Elephas maximus indicus: one gene and its partner. The protein of the gene in region 1 purifies or fractionates together with the protein of each later gene. This does not show direct contact. Links are inferred from orthologs where the notes say so. Each region holds a gene or a part of one and is shown on either strand. Other genes may lie near its edges.

Region 1 (10,127 bases):
TTCGGAGGCAGAAAGGGGTGGCAGCAGCGCGAGCTGTGCCCCCACACCCTGCGTTCAGGCCGGGCCCCCCGGCACCAGCTGGCCCAGGTCGCCCTCTGTGCGGCTCACCCACTCGCGGTAGAGGCCGCACACGCGAAACCCCAGCACCTTGGCCGGGAAGACGCCCGTGGAGGCGGCGGCGGCGGCAGCTGGAGACGGCTCGGGCCGTGGCCCGCTGGCCGGGACGCCGAACGCGGCCAGCACGGCCTCCACGGCGGACCCCAGGGCCCGGGCCTGGCGCGCCGCATCCTCCAGGCGCCGCAGCAGGCGCGGCGCGCGCGGGTTCAGCTCGGCCTGGTGGCGGCGCACGATGTCCAGCAGCGGCGGCAGCGCTTCCAGCGCCGCCGCGTCCAGCCGCAGGCGCTCCGCCGCGGGCAGCCCCGCGTGGCTCGGCGCCGGGGCGCTCAAGCCGGCCACCGGCAGCCGCGGCGGCGAGAAGCCAGGCAGGCCGAAGGGGTCTCCTTGGTGCTGCACCTGAGGAGACATGGCCAGACTGTCAGCGAGGCTGCGCTTGGAGCGGCCCCAGCTGTGCGGTGGGCCGGGGCGCGAGCTCCTCCACGTTTAACTGAGTCCCCCACCCACTCCGGGGCCTTAGTTTCCTTATCTCGCAAATGATAAATCTCTCACCGGGCTGCTGTGTTTGAGAGAATATAAAGCAACAGAAAACAACGTGAGCTGTACATCAGTGCCTGTTTTTGTCTCTGAAGTGGATAATAATAGTATCAACTTCATATGGTACTTCCAACATGCTGGTAAGTATACGAGCATGTAAAGTGCTTAAGACAGGGCCTGGCCCATAGGAAGGGCTCAATAAATGTTAGTCTTTCAGTAATGTTATCTTACAGGCCAGGGTTCAAGTCCCGTCTCCACCACTTACTAATTGTGCCGTTTAGGGCAAAAACCACTTCCTTCTCTGAACCTCAGTCTTCTTATCTGTAAAAAGGGAAGCAGCTCCCTGCCCTGTCTTCTTACCAAGGGTCTCCTGAGAATCATATGAGATATTGCAAGGACCAAGTCTATTTTGCTCTTCTTCCCTACCCTCCTGTTGTGGATTGAATTGTGTTCGCCATTTATCCTTTCCTAACCTCTTCCCTCCAGTTCAGGCATTGTGCTTGTTGCTTTAAACATATTAATTCAAATTTTCCCAATAATGAGTAGAATGATGATGATAATTATTTTGTAAATGAGGAAACCGGGCTGAAGAGGTACAGTGACTTGCCGTAGATCACTCATCTAGTAAGTGGCAGAGCTGGAATACGAACCAAAGTTGGTAGGACTGCAAAGCCAGTTCCGTCTCTGTTATCCCAAATCATAATTATTACTTGGTTATTTTAATATTAGCATTACTGCCCAATGTCATGGTTAGCAAGCTGATAGGCCTGGGTCTGTCTGATTCCACAACTATACCTTCCCTTCACTACATCAGGGAAATTTTGGGTAAACATCTTCTTTCCTTGGGCAGGGCCTTCTGCCCAACCAAAATGTCAGTAGATCTCCCTCTGTAAAAATCCCCTCTTGAGGTGGAATTTTTGCCCCAGATTGAAAACCGTTATTGGCCTCTCTGAATACCCAGCTGAAAGAGCTCACAGCTCGTCTTGCTCAACTGCCTCCTTTTACAGCTAGGGAGACCAAGGCCCACGGAGGCTAGGTGATGAGATCTCATAGACCCTAGTCTTCCTGACTCTCAGACCAGAGTTCTCATCACTCTCTCAGGCAGCCTCTGACTTAAAGCTCTGAGGAGGGAGCCTCCAAGGTGATGAGGACAGAGGGCATTTGGGTCACAGATAGGACCCTCCTCCTATTTGCTGTGTGGCCAGGGGCAAGTTACTGTCCTTCTCAAGGGGAAATGAGGTAAAGAAAATGGATGGTGTAGGACTCCTGTGATCTGTGCTTCCCCATGATTCTCTAGGCCCCAGGCCCCTACAACATCCTCCATCCCCACCCCCACTCACATATTCCTGGAACAGCTGCTCAGCATATTTGGTGAGAAGACGGGCAAGGTTGTGAGTCTGACGGATCTTGGCTTCCAGGTGGGGAAGGAGTGAGGTTGAGGAGTCAGCCTGGGGGTCTTCTGGTGAGAAAGGGGGGAAGAATAAGGGTAGCCCAAACCCCTCCTCCGAGACTGCTCCGAGGCTGGCTCCTGCTTCCTAAACCCAGCAGCTCTGCTCTGAATTTTCCCATTTTTAAGCTAGGCACAGTCTGTCCCATACCAACTGAGACCCCAGATCTTTTCCAAGCAGTAGCTCTATGTGAAATGTGTTCCCTGTGTCCAAGCTGCTGTTGAAATCATATTAAGGCCAAATTCAAACATTGCCTCCTCAGTGTGGCCTCCAGATTGACCTGTTTCCCAAATTAACTTCTTCCTTCAACCTAAAGCCATTTGCTTATACTTGCCAGGTAACTCTTTTAATGGCAGATTATAATTATTTGTGTGTATCTGCCTCAGCCTGGGATCCCTGAGAGGATAGGGCTGACATCTATTTCTGTACTTGAGTGACTATTAGTGGAATTCAACATCATTGAAGCACAGCATTGCAAATCGAAAGAGGCCTGTAAGGAAAAAACTCCCTCATTTTACAGATCCGGAGACCGAAGTCCCATTCGCTTTCTGATGTCTCTTTTATGCAAAACACTGGGCTGGGCCCTGGGCGGCATCAATGAATCAGCGACCCGCCCTGAGGGACACAAGCCATAGGGTGGCGCCCCAGGAGAAGGAGGACTACACTTCCCGAGACGCACAGCGCGCTCCCAAGTGCATGCTGGGGGATGTAGTCCGGACACGGCACCTCCCGCCCCGCCCCCCGCCTGAGTTTCCCACTGCTAGTACCGGTCTTCAGCTGCCTAGACTTTCGTTTCCTCTTGTCATGCACTCACTCATGTGGCCCAAAGACTTCCACAACTCTACTTCTCCCTCTGACCCCAAGTTCTGATTATTTCCGAGACTCGGAGAGGACCCAGGGGTCCAGCCCCCTGTCCTGACTCCAGTCCTCCCCCAGGTGGACTCGAACCAGTTGTCTGGCTGCAGAGCCCAAGTCCCTGAAAGCGCAGCTCCAGGCCTCTTCTGAACCCTGGCGCCTGCTCCCTTCCCACAACTCTGGCGCCTGCTCCCTTCCCACAACTCACCCGCTCGTTACCTGACACCAGGGTAAGCTCCCGTGCCCAGGCCGCTCCCCTCCCAGTCCCGGAGGTGGCGGAGACTCTGACCCTAGCTCCCAGCCCTTCTGACCCCTGCTCCCCTCAGTGACCCGGCATCTGACCCTTCAGCCCCTTACCCAGACTTCCCTCCCTCCGGCTCATGCTGGCCCTTAGCCGATCTCGGTTACCTCCACGCCCCCCTTCGAGGCGGGAGAAGGGGGACAGGGGTAGGGGCGTGACTCGGGCGCAACCAATCATGGTCCAGACCCCAAACACCCGCCCCACCCCCCCTCTCCCAGGCAAGATTCCTTGGCCCTGAGCTCAGCTCCCAGCCTACGCAGCCTAACCCGAGAGGGACCTAAGGGGTGGGGTGGGGGGGACAGCTTATTGGCACTATGGGCTTGGGACCTGGGACCGAGGGTCGGGGGCATGGGAAGCAGCCCTGCGTCCCACCAGGAGGAGGCTCAGGCACCGACCTGGGGCAGGGCCTGGCACTAGGAGATAAAGAGGGAGGCTGAGGGGCTGGCAGGAGAGGATGTGCAAGCCCTTCCTCTTGGAGACAAAGGGAGGCTAGGTGAGAGGGTTGTCCGGTAGGAGTCTCTAGGGCTTGGGGGCACACCTACCCAGACACACACCTGTATCTTATATGCGTTCCACCCAGTCAGCACAGTCTCATTGTCACATTGATATTCCCCGTCTCCTTTCTTCAAGCACATGCTGGTTGTCACACCTACCAGGAGGGAGACACATCACCTCATCTCACCTCACCCCACTGACACACACACATGCATCTATTGAAAGTTAATGCATACACTCATTCTTACATAGGAGCAAGCTTCAGAGACAGGTGCAGGAGGTCACACTCACACGTAACCCCACTAACCTGGTGCAGATAGACACTAGGGGGTCTGCATACACATCCCTAGAGATGGTTCTAGAGTGCCTACTCTGCTCTGGATCCTGGGACACAGATACGATCCATATGGGGTCTCAGACCCCCTAAGGAACTCACAGTCTGATGAGAGAGACCATACACAATGGAGACTGTGAGCAAAAGGACTGTGTGTCTGTGAGGATGTTGACATGGGCAGACAAACTGCCAGAATAAAGGAATGCAGGGATTAACTGGCAGACAGCAGAGCAGGTGCAACTGAGGCTGCACTCTTTATTCACAGTTAATATTTATTGAGGGTTTATTATGTGCAGGCTCTAAGAGCTATACATGTATTCATGTATTAACTTGCTTAATGCTTATAAACTCATTCACCCTGTTGCCATCGAGTCGATTCCGACTCACAGCCACTCTATAGGACAGAGTAGAACTGCCCCATAGGGTTTCCAAGGAGTGCCCGGTGGATTCGAACTGCTGACCCTTTGGTTAGCAGCCGTAACACTTAACCACTATGCCACTAGGGTTTCCTTAATGCTTATAACAATATAAAAAGGTAGGTAATATTATCACCCCCATTCTATAGACAAGGAATTAGAAGTATAGACAGATAAGTGACTCGTCCAAGGCCACATAGGTAAGTGTGGCACAGTTGGGATTTCTCCCCAGCAGTTTAGCTCCAGAGATGCTCTCATCATCACCTTGCTATACCTTAACCCCTCCGGACGGTCACACAACAGCACAGACACAACAGACATACCCTTGAAACACACTCACACATAGCAACACACATTTATATCTGCTGACAAGCACCTGTAAACCCATCGCTGTCAAGTTGATTCCGACTCATAGTGATCCTATAGGACAGAGTAGGGCTGCCCCATAAGGTTTCTAAAGATCAGCTGGCGGATTCGAACTGCCAACCTTTTTGTTTGTCGCCAAGCTCACCAAGGGTCTGCTGACAAGCACGGTGTCCAATAAAACCAACCAAGACACAGTCATTTTCTTTAAGAAAACTTTTTATTGAAGTAAAATACACATACAGAAAAGTGCACACATTATAAGTACACAGCTTGATGACTTCCCATATGATAAACATGCCCAAGGAACCAGCACCACATTAAGAAACAGAACAGGATCTGCTTGGAGAAACCCCCCTCTTAGCCATTCCCAGTCAGTATCCCCCAAGGGTGACCACTATCCTGCCTTCTCACACCATAATTTTGTCGTTTTCAAACTTCATATAAATGGAAGCTTGTGTCTTCTTTCACTCAGATGTTCATGAGACTTATCCACGTTGTTGGGTGTAAAAACCAAAGCCACTGCCGTCGAGTCGATTCCAACTCATAGCAACCCTATCGGACAGAGTAGAACTGCCCGACAGAGTTTCCACGGTGCGCCTGGCAGATTCAAACTGCCGGTCTCTTGGTTAGCAGCCGTAGCACTTAACCACTACGCCACCAGGGTTTGTTAGGTGTAGCAGGAATCAATCATTCTCATTGCTGTGCCCACGGGTGTGAATAGGCTACAATTCATTTTCCAGTCTCCTGTTGATGGGCATTTGAGTTGTTTCCAATTTGGGGCTATTATGAACAGTGCTATGAACTTTCTAGTACACATCTCTTGGTGTTCATACCTCCGTTGGGCGTTGACGACTTAGGATTGGAACTGCTGGATCATATGGCCAGCTTCACTAGAAAACTGCCTGTTTTCCAAAGTGGCTCTACCAATTTACACCCCCCCAACTCCCCGCCTAAATATGAGTTCCACTTGCTCTGCTTCCTCGCCTACCTTGGTATGGTCTGTCATTTTCATTTTAGTCATTCCGGTGGGTGGAGACCCACTCATACTGGCAGAACCTGGCACATAGTTGGCACTCAGTAGACTGTTGAATGAATGGATGAGCTGGGCAACATAGAATCAGACAACTTGGCGAGGGTGGACACACACATACATAAACACACCCTCACCCAGAATTTCAGGGACGCCCAAGCGCGGGGGACGCACATCCGGACACGGACCCCCGCGCGCATCCCCGGGGCCCACGTGGCCTGAACGCACCGCCTCTGGCCGGTCGCGCGCGTCCAGTCGCCCAGCTGCCCCTAACTCTCCCTCTCGGTGGCGGGCAGGGGGCGCTGCGCGTCCGGACGCCCCGAGGGGGCGGGCCCGGGTCGGGGCGGGGCCGGCCGGGCTTCCAAACCTCGGCTCCCGCCGCCCGCGCCGCCGGGCCGCTCCGGGGACGGGCCGGGGCGGGGCGCGGCGGCAGGAAGCGGGGCGGGGATTCGCGGAGGCGTTGGGGAGCGAGGGAGGGCGCGGCCAACTCCCGGAGGGTCGGCAGGCCTGGAGAGCGGCGCCCCTGCTTGGCGCCGAGCCTGAGCCCGCCGGACGGGAGGCGGCCCCGCCACGGGCCCTGCCTCGGTCCCAGCCCCGCCAGCATGGCGGGCCGGACTGTGCGGGCCGAGACCCGGAGCCGGGCCAAGGATGACATCAAGAAGGTGATGGCGACCATCGAGAAGGTCCGGAGATGGTGAGCTCAGCGACAGGGACGCGGATGGGACATAGCAGGGCTACCGCCCCCAAATGCATTTACCCTCCCCATGCCAGCTGTAGCCCCAGGTGTTAGGCGTGTGCCCAGCTGTGCCCCGGATTGACAGGGCTCATTCTCCCTTGCCCTGGTGATCTCCAGCCGTGCCCTCCCATAGTAGGGCTCCAATTTTTGTGCCCTGCCTCCTAAAGCTGTGACTCCCTCCATCCTAAGTGTGCCCCAGGATCTTCATTGCCATGGTCCTCACCCAGGCCCAGAGCCATGCCCCCATTTTTGCAGCGCCACAGTCCCAAGCCATACCCTCCCTAGACGCACTCTCATCTATGCCCTGAGGTCTGCAGGGCTCTCTTTGGCCCTCTCACTACGCCCTATTAACAAAACTGTCCCTCCCCTCGTGCCCCTCCCCCACCTCTGCAGGTACCCCCAGATGTGTCCAGCTGGGGGGCTTTTCCCCCAAGCCTCTCTGACCCAGCTACCCCCCATCCTCCCACAGGGAGAAGCGCTGGGTGACTGTGGGCGACACTTCCCTTCGTATCTTCAAGTGGGTGCCAGTGGTGGACCCCCAGGAGGAGGTGAGCAAGCCCCCCCTCCACCAGACCCTGCATCTGTGCAACCTCAGCCAAGCTCCTGCCCACCCTGGCCTCCACATCTAGTCCCCACTCAGACCTCAAATGCAGCAGTTTAGGCAGATGTCAACAATTATTAGCCACCCCAGCCCCCTTCTTTTTCCCTGCTCCAGAGCCCAGAATTCAGAACCTAACTCAGCATGCACAACCTCTGTCACCTCAGGCAAGGCCTTTTGCTTCTCTCTGCCTCAGTTTCCTTATCTGTACGGGGTGGGAGGATTGCAAGAGCTAACCAGAAAGGCAGTTGGGGCCCTGACCCTTACCCCTCTAACCCCTAGGACCGACGACGGGCGGCTGGTGGTGCAGAAAGATCCCGTGGCCGGGAGCGGCGGGGCAGGGTCTCCAGTCCCCGAGGGGGTGGTCCTCTCATCCTGCTCGATCTCAATGGTATGTGGGGATCCTGGGATTTAGGGGGTGAGGGGCATGGAAGAGAGAACTTGGGGCCTCAGGCCCAACCCTTCTGGTTCTTGTTCCCACAGATGAGAACAGCAACCAGAGTTTTCATTCGGAAGGGTCTCTGCAAAAGGGCACCGAGCCCAGCCCTGGGGGCACCCCCCAGCCCAGCCGTCCTGAATCGCCTGCCGGACCCCAAGATGGGGTCCCAGAAGAGGCTCAGCCCCCACAGCTGGGCCAGGAGAGAGGTAGGACCAGGTGCCTCCTGGGAGCCCGCTCCTCTGATGAATCCTGTTCGCTACAAAGCTGAACCCACCAGCTTCCCTGCATGTCTGTTCCTCCTCTTTTGTTGCCTCATCAAGGAGGCTCTTCCTTGGCTTCTGTGGAAAGTTACCACCCTATCTCTAGCTACTGTGTGTCTCATTCCTCTGGCTTCTTAGGGTCTGTAGATCTCTTATCACGATCTGAAATTTCATGTAAATTTAACTTTTTATTAGTATAGTATGTTTCTCCCCCAGTCCCACCTGATAGCAGCTTCATGAAAGTTGGGCTCATATCGATCTTGTTCACTAATTGCCTCAGAACACCATGTGACACATAGTAGGTACTCAAGGAACATTCGTTGAGTGATAATCATAAAAGCAATTAACACGGTATTGATAATAGGTAATATATATTGAGTGCTTACTGTGCGCCAGGTATGCTTCTAAGCACTTTACTCACTTTATCTTTTTTAATCTTCATCACAACCCTATGGGAAGGTGTGTCGTATTACGATCCCCATTTATAGATGACGAAACCGATGCTCAGAGAAGTTACGTAAGTTGTCGAAGTCACACAGCAAGCTCCCTCTTCCATATAGCCAGTCGATGCCTGCCTTTCCCTCCCCAGGCTCTGCCTGGCTCTGGCCATCCCATCTTTCATGCACTGCTGGCTCTAGCCTCCTCAGCAGTCACCCCCATCCAGTTGCTTCCACACAACTGCCAGAGTAACTAAACCACAAGCTTGTCAGCTTCCCTGCTTCAAAGCCTTCAGTAGCTCCCCATGGCTTTTGACTCCTCCCCAGCTTGGCATTCAGGGCCCTTCGTGAACTGGCCCCTGGTAACCTCATTGTTCTCCCCCAGCAACCTCATGACATGGGCCTACTTGCTGTGACGAGTATGTGCCATGCACTCTTATGCCTTTGCTAATACAAAAGCACTAATTGATACCCGCTGAGTACTTGGTTGTGCTAAGGGCTCTACCTGTATTGTCTCACTGAATCCTCACAACAATCTCATGTGGTAACTACTGTTGTTATCCCCATTTTACAGACAGGGAAACTGAGACTTAGAGAAATTAAGTAGTTTGACCAAGGTCAGAATATGAACCCAGGCACTCCAACCCCAGAAGTTGTGCTCATTAAGCATGAATTCCTTCTGCGAAAAGTGTGCTCCACCTGTTTGCCGGATGAAATCCTACTCACCCTTCAACATCCCACATAAATGTTCCTTCCTCTGTGCTGCCTTCTGGATCACAGTAACAGTGCGGGCTCCTCCCTCATTCTCCCATACCCTCTGGCTTACGTGGTTGGTGCTTGTTGGTATTTATTTCCCTGACTGGTTTGTGTTACTGCCACAGAGTTGCTGGCTGCTCAGGGAATGTCTGTTAACTTGACCTTCCAGATCCTGGGGGCATAACTACGGGCGGCACCGATGAACCCCCGATGCTGACCAAGGAAGAGCCTGTTCCAGAATTGCTGGAAGCTGAGGTGAGAGAGGCCAGAACACTGTTCTTTTAGGTCTTCGAGGGGTTGGAAGCTTTGGGGTTAGCCAAAGGCTCGGAGGCTGTACTCCTGGGTCCAGAAGGGGAATGTAGACATAGAACACAGGTAAAAGCTTAGAGGCTGGATTCTTGGGACCAAAAAGGAGAGGATATTTTAGCGACGGCCAATGTCTTAAGCTTAATAAAGTCCCCCATAAAGTTCTGATTTTTCCCACAAGGATTATGTTGATGCATTTTTCCGAAATATCAAATATCACATTCTTTCTCCAGAATTTGTCGTTGTTGTTTTTTCTTGTGCCTTACTTAAGCTGCATCTTGGGTACCTGGCTCTGGGCTAGACTCCTGGGTCCGGGAGGGGAGTGGAGTGGAGGCTTTGGAGAAGGCAGAGGCTAGGAGGCTGGACTCCTGGGTTTGGGTGGAGCTCACGCCTGTCCGCCCTTCCTCTCCAGGCCCCTGAAGCTTACCCCGTCTTTGAGCCAGTGCCACCTGTCCCCGAGGCAGCCCAGGGTGACACAGAGGACTCGGAGGGCGCCCCCCCACTCAAGCGCATCTGCCCCAATGCCCCTGACCCCTGAGAAGCCGGCCTGCCTATCCTGCCACCCCAGGGGCCTCTTTGACTTTTTACAAATAAAGACCCTTTTATAATTTTGTGTCATGTTGTTTCCCCGTCAGGGCTGGGGAGGGTCTTTGGTGACAGTTTTGTCACATGCTCCATTTCTCAGATGGGGTCACTGAG
Region 2 (10,322 bases), on another chromosome or scaffold:
GACTGTCAGGAGTAGCCTACTGAGCGTTCAGCCTTACAGTAACACGTTTCCATGTGGAACATTTAAGTTAGGAGGAGAAAAACTTCACTTGTGTTGAACGACCTGAACATTTTTGGGGGAATGCACTACTAAGCAAATTCCTCAATGAAGCTGTTGTGTAAGAAAAGCATATAACCAAGTTCTCGGGCTCTTAGCAGAGCAATTGATGACTCCTGGTGATGTACACTGAGAGGTGCCCACCGACTCTCCTAATAAGTTAGGGGTGAGGTACTTGAGTATAATGGGGTGAAATAAAAATCAGGAATGCATTGTTACATGTGTTATAGCTTTTTGGGATTTACTGTGCTTGAAGAGTAGTCTTATTCTAAAAGTCTACATGTACTATGAGACAATGAATCATATGTGTGAGAGACTCCCAAGTCCTTCAGGTAAGGCAGTGAAATATTCCAGAAAACTGAGGTGATCAGCACTCCAAATGACTTCCCTTTGGATACGTGATAATTTGTTGTTGTTGTTGTTGTCAGCTGTCCCATGCACAACAGAACGAAATGTTGTCTTGTCCTGCTCTGTCTTCATGATGATTGGCTTTGGATCCCACATCCTGGCTAGTATACGATGTAATATCAAATATGTTTTGTTGTTCTCGTTAGCAGCCATCAAGTCATTTCCAACTCATGGTAAACTTATATACAACATAAAGAGACATTGCCTGGTCTTGGGTCATCCTCACAATCACCAACATGTTCAAGTCCATTGTTACAGCCACTACATCAATCCACCTTACTGAGGGTCTCCCTCACCCGCCTTGGCCTTCTATTTCACCAAACACTGTGTTTTCCTCTGCAATTGATCTCTCTTGATGTGTCCAAGGTCATTGAGTTGGACATTCAAATATGTTTACTATCCAAGTATTTATTTTTTAGAAGCTAGAGTGGAACTCTCTCTAAATGCCTTTATCCAAGCTTTAGATTATCACAGATAGGAGCTACTTACATGATGTATGACATGATCCAATATAGAACAGAATATTGAAAGGCACGAGTAGGTGCTCGATAAGTGACTTTTGATGATGGCAACACGAATGAGGACAATACTGGGAGTAAAATGAAAGAAATGTGATTGGACATACGATTCTAAAAGTTACAGAACATTTCTAAACATTCTAGGTTGTAGTGAAAAATATTTATTACCTGTCGTTCAAAATGTGGACAGTCCAGTAAAGATAAAATGTACAATGTTTTAAAATGTAATAAGGTATTTCTGCATTTATGTCAATGGTGTTACTATGAACCCACCAGTGGCTCCATGGGAGAAAAGACCTAGCGATCACCTCCCATAAAGATTACAGCTTAGGGAAGAAACCCTATGAGACAGTTCTACTCTGTCCTATAGGGTCCCTGTGAGTCGGAATTGACTTGAGGGCACATAACGTTAAATTTGATTTAAGGTTTTGGAAGTCTACATCCAACACTTGGTAATACTCTGAATATACTTGGAATTGGCCCAATTGCTGGTGCTGACTAGCCTCATCAGGATCCAGTGGTGGGTTCCTGGCATCAAGTCTGGGATGTGCCAGATGCAGTCAGATTAGGCTGATGGCAGTCAACAGCAAGGCTCAGTTACAGGGATTGCTGACCTATGGGGAAGTCTGAGCTTGCTCTAAATTGGCCAAATCCTCCATGAGGTTCAAGGGCAGCCCTTAGTATATTTTAGTGCAATTGTTAATTGTTTGTCTCCTTTATTAGACTCTGACGCCCTTCAAGACAGGAACCAGGTAATGTTTATCTTTTTATTTTCAGGGCATGACAAAGCAGATTCTAAAGAAATTTGTTGAATGAGTAAGTGCTAGTTTATCCCCATCCAAGTTTACCGTCCTCATTATCATATTCTTAGTAAATATAATGATGCAACTGGTTTTCCTGGTTCCCAAATTTGTTAAAATTATTTTTTGCCTAGACTTTTCTCAAATGCTACAATTGCTTTGCATACTGAATTTATGGGCCCCTGTTAATTTGCATCGTTGTTCCAAATCAAAGGCTATATCCCATATCTTGCAATTACTCAGTGTTATTCACTGCTAATGTCTAAATCGGGGAAGTGAAAGGGACAATTGTTTAGTACTTTTTTAAGTCCGTGACCAAGATCAGTAGGGAAATCCCATCAGCTCCATTCATTGCATGTCTCATAAATCTAAAAGGGAAGCAAGTATCCAAAGCCTTATTCTTTAATAGTTCTTATTTGTAAATCTTGACAGGGCTTTATTCTAAATTGCTTCCAAATTATGCAAAGAATACTGAGAAATATGATGGGTAGTGAGTCGTGATAGTTTCAGTCACCGAAGAAATAAGTCGAACAGTAAAAGGGGGCTAATCTGAAAGCAAACAGCGTAGGATGGGCAACGAAGAGGTAAAAAGAATGGAATTGTGGAATTCTTAAACTACCATCTGGCTCAATCCTCTTTAAGTGGCCACGCTGAAGTGTCTTTTATTCATTGCCCCAAAACTTATTCACAAGGAGCAGTTATTTGAATATTAATATTTCCATATAATAAAAAACCCTTTTTGTAACCAAGAAGGAATGTTTAGCAAAATAATGGGTAATCCTCAGGCTAAACACGAAGGCGTGGGGAGCAATCTGTGGTTGGGAGGTTGCTGGAGGCGAGGCCTGGCCACTCGGCAGCTTTTGGGCCTGTACCACCGCGGGTCTTTGTGGTTAGAGTAACTTATTAAAGTTGTCATTATGGTTTGAAATTTAGGCAAGAGGTGTAAAAATAAGAAATTCACTGGGAAAAATGAACTCAGTGATTGCTAGTACCTTATTTCTTCCCAAAGAAACCCAAACAAACCAAAACCAAAGCCATTGCCTTCGAGTCAGTTCCGACTCCTAACGACAATATAGGACTGAGTAGAACTGCCCCATAGGGTTTCCAAGGCTGTAAATCTTTACAGAAGCGGAACGCCACATCTTTCTCCCAAGGGACAGCTGGTGGGTTCCAGCTGCCGACCTTTCGGTTAATAGCTGAGCACTTAACCACTGCACCACCAGGGCTCCTTCCAAAAGAAACAATAATGTAGAGTTGTCATATAGGATAATTGAGGCAAGTGACACAATACGAATGCTCATCACTAGCTGAAAGTGTGCTTTTGTGAGATCTGAAAGTATTTCATTACTTGATAGCAGACCCCTGACAAGCGCTGTTTTGTTTCTTAAGCCCTGTTTTTATTTTTATTAATGAAACTGTAAGAGGCTTTTATTTTGTCTTCCTGGAAAGGTGTTTGAAAAGTGTCAGTTGAGTAAAATATAAGGCCACTACTTATCTTCAGCAAAGATGCTAAAAAAGAGGTATTGGAACATTTTTCTGTGGTTTCAAAGACAAAACCCAGTCCTGCTGGCTTTGTGTTGTGCTTCTCTTCCAGGCTGCAGTGCCTTCTGTCTGCTTCAGGGCGTGGCATCTGCCACTGGGGAGGAAAAGCTGGCATGCGCTGCCTTTTATAGCAGACTGAGTTCATTGTGCTGAGGGCCTCTGTTTCAGAGCCTCTTGGTTCCAGTCTTCTAGTTGACTTGCTGGAGCAAATGGAATGAAAAGACACTTACCGACTTACATACCTAAATTTTTTTTCATTATTTTTGTACATAAAAAAATTTTTTCATGAAAAGGGTCAAAGCTGAACTTGTTGACTCATTTTCCCTTTTAAGATCAGTTGTGAAAACAAGCCACAAAATATGAATTGACTTTGATATATTTTATCAATTGGAAGAAATGCAATTTTATGATTATGTGTATATATTCAGTTTGATGATGAATGTCTAAAAGCATAAATATGTAACTGACTTTATAGGAATATACACACAAACACAAAACAGACATGCAGTTATATTTGCATATGAAAAACTTTCAAAATTCAACTTATGTGTATAATTAGTATGTATTTGAATGTATAAAAGGAGAAAATCCAGGAGAAAATGTCAAAAAGGCACACTAACAAAGATGTAGTAGTCTCCTGGCAAAACTGATGAATGGTTTGGCATGAATTCATCTTACAGTTCTGTTATCCTCTCTTACACATGATGATGTGACCCTGGTTTTCCAGCTGTTTGCGGAGAATTGCAATTTGTCGTTTCCATGCTGGATAATGACCCTTGGGTGTGCACCTGATCTCCCCCTCCCACCCACAATTAGCCCCCAGTTTTTTCCAGTCTATCCCTTTTTTTTAGGCATGTAACATATTTACTTACACTTGGTGAGGCAAACAAAAATAACCAGGGCAGTTGAAACAAACTAACCTACTTCTGACAAAAGTTGGAGAATGAAATGATTTCGCAAAACTACATTCTACCAAAATCATACAGATTATTTCAGCCAGCTTGACCTCTTGAAAGCTCTGGTTTCAAATGCTTTCTCTTGATGAAAACAGAGTGCACACCAGTAAAAGGTAACCACTGCTTGGGTTAAGAGGTCCTGCTGTCAAAGATATCTAAACTAGTACAGTGATAAATCGGCAAAACATTTAAAACATTGTGAAGTGATAATAGATATTTTTTAAAGAACAAAATATGAAAGGTTTCTACTTTAGGATTTGATGGGACCATTTTATATTACTGATCTTATATTTATATTTATTAAAGACAATGTCTAGTATTTATTTTCGTTTTGTTTCCCATTACTCAACAATGAGCTCCTATCAGGAAGGTTGTTTACATTAACCTGTGAAACATGACGAAAGGTGCCACACGGATTTATGAAGACATGAGCTAAACATTAGCTGTTACTACGACGGCACTAGGAGTTAAGCTTTCGTCGGAAAGTTGTTTGGAGCATAACATACCACTCGACGTCTTTGAGGCTTTTTCCCTTTAAACAGAGGACATACACTTGTGGAGCAATTTTCATTGATAAGCCTAGAGGCAAATGCGAGGTGCCTTGAAAACTAGTTATATCAACAGTATCTTTGGGGCAGGTACAGCACAAGGAAAGCATTTATTGAGTACCTGCTGTGTACAGGGCACAGCGCTCCTGGAATTCACCGGAAACGTTTCCTCATTTTGCCGTTTGAAAAAGTTGTGGGAACTACGTGGAGGGACCAAAATCAAATCAGAGGGGCTAAGATTCTGAAAAATGACACAACTACTGGAAGACACAGTGCTTTTGCACAGATTACCCAAATATTTTTCTTTTTTCCGTCGGTTCTTCATAACCTTTGAGTTCGACAGACAACTTTGTTCCCGAGCCCTTTTCTCTCTTTTGTCTGCTCGTCAGACTCGTTTTCCACCTTTGTACCGTGCCTTCTCGATGGGAAAACAAACCGGCGAACGCCCGGTTGGCAAGGAGACCGAGGCCCGGGGAGCGTGCAGCCGCCCTCGGCCCGGCCGGCCAGCCCGGTGCCCGGCGACGTGCGCCCGGCGGGCGGCTGGTGGCGGCGGCGGCGCTGGCTGAGTCCAGTCCGCGTTTTGCGAGTGCGCGGAGTAATCAGAAGTGGATAATAGTTGCTCGGGCTCGCGCGGCTCCCTCGCGTGCCATGCTGGGCCCGATAGGCTCCGGCAGCCGTGTGTGTACCCATATCCGGGTTAGGGAGGAAAGGAGAAAAGTTTCATTTAAACCTGAACTCAAAACTTTCACCATGAGAGCCCACAGCAGGAACAGGCCCAGACCGTGAGGCTCGACCCGCTGCTCGTAAGGCGCCCGGCCGGGGGGGCTCGCCGGAGTCGGCGCGGGCGTGGGATGCGCGCAGGAGGGGCCGCGGCCTGAAGTCGGGTCCCCCCGCCCCGCCGCCAGCCTCGCGCGCCTCGCCGGCGATCATGGCCGCGCGGGCGGCGGCGGCGGCTCGGGCGCGGGCGGGCAGCAGCGAGCGGCGGGCGCCCCCCGGGCCGCGGCCGGCGGCGCTCGGGGCCCGGGACCCGGAGGCGGGCGCGCGCGGCGCGGCGGCGCCCGGGCCCATGCTGGGGGGCGGCGACGGCGGCGGCCTGAATAATGTGCACCACCACCCCCTGCACCCCCATAATGAACTGAACATGGCCCACAGCGCGAGCGCCGCCGCCGCCGCCGGCAGTAACGCCAAGAGCGGCGGCTCCGAGGCGGCTCTCAAGGAGAGTGCAAGCGCCGCCGCGCTGTCCTCCTCCTCCTCGGCGGCGGCGGCGGCGGCGGCGTCCTCCTCTTCCTCCGCCTCGGTCCCGGGCTCGGCCATGGAGACGGGGCTGCTCCCCAACCACAAACTGAAAGCCGTTGGCGAGGCCCCCGCTGCACCGCCCCACCAGCAGCACCACCACCATCACCATGCCCACCACCACCACCACCACCATGCCCACCACCTCCACCACCACCACGCACTCCAGCAGCAGCTAAACCAGTTCCAGCAGCAGCAGCAGCAGCAGCAGCAACATCCCATTTCCAACAACAACAGCCTCGGCGGCGGCGGCCACCACGGCGCGGGCGGCGGCGGCGCGGCTCAGCCGGGTCCCGACATGGAGCAGCCGCAACATGGAGGCGGCGGCGGCGGCAAGGACAGTGTCGTGGGCAGCCAGGCCGAAGCCCCGGGCCAGCCTCTGCTGAGCAAGCCGGGCGACGAGGACGACGCACCGCCCAAGATGGGGGAGCCGGCGGGCGGCCGCTACGAGCACCCGGGCCTGGGCGCCCTGGGCGCGCAGCCGCCGCCGCCGAGCGCCGTGTCCGGGGGCGCCGTGCCCGGGGGCGCCGTGTCCGGCGGCGCCGTGCCCGGGGGCGCCGGCGGCGGCGGCCCGGCGGCCGTCCCGGAGTTTAATAATTACTACGGCAGCGCTGCCCCTGCCAGCGGCGGCCCCGGCGGCCGCGCTGGGCCTTGCTTTGATCAACATGGCGGACAACAAAGCCCCGGGATGGGCATGATGCGCTCTGCCTCAGCCGCCGCCGGGGCCCCCAGCAGCATGGAGCCCCTGCAGAACTCGCACGAAGGGTACCCTAACAGCCAGTACAACCATTATCCGGGCTACAGCCGGCCCAGCGCGGGAGGCGGCGGCGGCGGCGGCGGAGGAGGAGGAGGCAGCGGAGGAGGAGGAGGAGGAGGAGGAGGAGCGGGAGCGGGAGCTGTGGCGGCGGCGGCCGCGGCGGCGGCGGCAGCAGCAGCAGGAGGCGGCGGCAGCGGCGGCGGCTATGGGGGCTCGGCCGCGGGGTACGGGGCGCTGAGCTCCCCCCGGCAGCAGGGCGGCGGCATGATGATGGGCCCCGGGGGCGGCGGGGCCGCGAGCCTCAGCAAGGCGGCCGCCGGCGCGGCGGCGGGGGGCTTCCAGCGCTTCGCCGGGCAGAACCAGCACCCGTCGGGGGCCACCCCGACCCTTAACCAGCTGCTCACCTCGCCCAGCCCCATGATGAGGAGCTACGGCGGCAGCTACCCCGACTACAGCAGCCCCAGCGCGCCGCCGCCGCCGCCGCCGCCGTCGCAGCCCCAGTCCCAGGCGGCGGCGGCGGCGGGGGCGGCGGCGGCGGGAGGCCAGCAGGCGGCCGCGGGCATGGGCTTGGGCAAGGACCTGGGCGCCCAGTACGCCGCCGCCAGCCCGGCCTGGGCGGCCGCGCAACAAAGGAGCCACCCGGCGATGAGCCCCGGCCACCCCGGACAGCCCATGGGCCGACCCCAGGTAACGCGCCGGCCGGGCCTGCTTCCGCCCGGCGGCCTCGCGCGCTCGCGGCCCTAGTTTCTTTCTTTCGGGTTTACTTTTTTTCCGTCTCCTCTCGGGGGGAGGTGGGGGCGAGATTCCGGAGCCATTTCGCTCGCGGCCGCCTCGCCCGGGAGGCCGGGGCGCGCACAATGTCCGCCTCGCGGTCCGGCGCTCGGCGGGGACGCGCGGGCGGGCCGGCGGCACCATGGAGGCGGCGCACCCCGCCCCAGCCCCCAGGCCTGCGCTCGGCCGCGGGGAGGCAGTTGGGGCGGCGGGGCCGGCTCGGGCGCTTTGGTGGGGCAGCCTTCCCCTCGCCAGTGGGTCCGAGGGGAACGGGGACCGGATTCCCTGGTTAGCGCTAGCGCTGCGCTTTAACTAGAAGGACGGAGAACTTTCTCCACCTCCAACCACGTCGCGTGGAACGGCAGGGGAGGTGAGCTAGCTTCCTGACCAGCCGAGTGTGCGGCTCCTGGTTGTGGAGAACCGCCTGTAACTAGAGCACTCGCGGATGTTCGGTGCGGCCTGCCGGCCTGAACGTTGAGGAGCGAAAATAATACCGAAACGTGCAACTGCGTGGAGGCAAAATACTCTAAAATATATCGATTCCTTCCTAAGGACAGCCAGTGAGATCCATCTTTCGGCTCAGGGGCAGCCCGAAAGGAGTCACCTTCACAGAGGCTGTGTTCAAGGACCACATTCCGAATAAATCGAACTTGTTTTGGTCGAGGATCCTGCAAACCTTTTATTAGGCAAATCCAGTAACATGCCAGACCCGTGGCAGTGAGCTATTTGGGTCGTATTTATTTGGATTTTCTGTGTTCCGCTGTCACCCCAGCCCCACGACGTTATTGGGAAGTGTCCTGCACTCTGGCTGTTTCTTGCTGGTAGGCTGAGCCTAAAGACTGACTCGATCTCCTTTGCGAGGTTTGGAATTTGAATTGTGGAGGTAAACTGGCTGTAAGAGTCTCCAGACAGCTGCCTCGGAGTTGACATCTAATCCGCCATCTGATTGGCTCCCCTCTCACCATTGGGCATTTAGCGCTGCTGATGTAAATAGACGTGCTCGGCAGTACAGTCACAAAAATCCTTGCCACAAATAATAACCCAGCTCTATTGCAAGCAGATGTAAGGTTGAATATGATTTAAAGCTTCATTTATTATGAGTCGGAGTTATTAATAAGAAGATTAAGTATATAAAAACATTATGCTGGTGTCTAGCGTTGAGCATTTGCAAAATTAAGTTCTTTGATGACAACCTTTCAGTATGAACATTGCATAGATCACGGACTTTAATTGTAGGGTGAGGATATGTTAATTGAAACATAAGGAAACCAGGAATTTTTAACCAATTTTTGGATTCAGAAAGCTTTTATGGGATTCGTAAAGCTTTTCTAAAAGCCTGCCCTTTACAGATTTGACCATGGGGGGGGGAACAATTGAGCCGTATTAGAACACATATTTAATATAAAATTAAAAATTTCAAGCTTCTGATAACGCAGCAGTATCATTTGGTGATGTTTATTTAGTTTTATAACAAGGTTAAAGTTATATTTCTATTGATTTGTGTTTTAACGTTTCTGACCATTTGTAGATGAAGAATATTAGTTAGAATTGACATTATATTTTAAAAAAATGAAATGAGAAAGCTAAGTAAATTTTGCAGTCGAAAGGAAAAGCGGATATTCCTTTGAAATACTAAAAATCATTTTTTGTTTGCCTCTGATTCGAAATGCCTCAAGAATCTGGTTTTTTTTCCTCTTGATTATTTTGTTAGATTAGGTAATGTGAGCCTCATTTGAATTGCTTATACAATGAATTAGGAAAAGCTCGATTAATAGCAAGTTGTACTGGGTATGTTTTTTCCAAATAATTTTTTTATTATTTATTATTTATAGCTATCTTAATGCTGTGGAAGTGTTAAGATGCTAATCTGTTAGAAGTAAATTTCAGTGGTTGTGTATATGTTTTTACCCAACCCATTTATTTTAGGAAGGTGTATTTTAATTATAATCATGTATTACAGGATAGTGAACATATCTTAAAGGAGAGACTTGTCAGAGAGAATCAAAGACTGAATTTAACAAATGCTGTGTGAATCCTAAGCTGAATATTTTTGTTCACTGTTTTCAAATCTTTAGTTATTGGAGTTTTACTTTTAACAATAATGTATTTTCCTATTCTTGGTAGAAAACTTGCAATTTCAATTTTCATTGTTGATTTGCACAAGTGAAAACGTTATAGAGAGGGCTCATGTAAGGAAACTCCTGTAATAGATTTAAAAAAGATTTGTTTTCTCAACTGCTTTTAAAGGTGCAGTTTAAAAACTCATATCTTTGTAAACCAGAGACGAATGAAGTTAGAGGCAGATGTCAGTCTGTGTTACTTTGGAGTATTATTTTTTAGTGGTAGAAATCATTTCAGGTATTTTATTTTCTTGGAATGAGAGTAGATCCATTATATCTGCAGTGTGACCCTTGAGAATATTTTTTTTGTTGTTGTTTTTTGGGGTGGATAAAGTGATGGACATATGACCTAGATTCACAGATTTCTTCTGTGTATCGTATAACATGTGGGATGTGTCTTTTTCATACTTTTTTTTTTGAAGGCTAGTATTATTTAATATTCTTTATGATACCTATGCTAAGAAACAGTCACTTGTCCAAAATATTAAATCACTGCATAACTGTAGGTCATAA

The links.
Region 2: the proteins of BCL7C (region 1) and ARID1B purify together in Homo sapiens (affinity purification with mass spectrometry; 4 studies listed by BioGRID and IntAct, counting the BioPlex papers as one, with this or other methods). This does not show direct contact. The link is inferred for Elephas maximus indicus from reciprocal best matches to the Homo sapiens genes BCL7C and ARID1B.

What each region holds. Positions count from the first base shown.
Region 1 is NC_064830.1:90,162,917-90,173,043, reverse strand, and holds BCL7C (B-cell CLL/lymphoma 7 protein family member C), read left to right. Parts: upstream 1-6,265; 5' UTR 6,266-6,498; coding exon 6,499-6,590; intron 6,591-7,101; coding exon 7,102-7,180; intron 7,181-7,512; coding exon 7,513-7,621; intron 7,622-7,713; coding exon 7,714-7,875; intron 7,876-9,291; coding exon 9,292-9,377; intron 9,378-9,840; coding exon 9,841-9,966; 3' UTR 9,967-10,049; downstream 10,050-10,127. Other genes in the region: CTF1 (cardiotrophin-1), read right to left, coding at 55-513, 1,992-2,110, 3,312-3,336. UniProt on the Homo sapiens protein: May play an anti-apoptotic role.
Region 2 is NC_064819.1:228,890,783-228,901,104, forward strand, and holds the start of ARID1B (AT-rich interactive domain-containing protein 1B), read left to right. Parts: upstream 1-5,908; 5' UTR 5,909-5,934; coding exon 5,935-7,605; intron 7,606-10,322. UniProt on the Homo sapiens protein: Involved in transcriptional activation and repression of select genes by chromatin remodeling (alteration of DNA-nucleosome topology).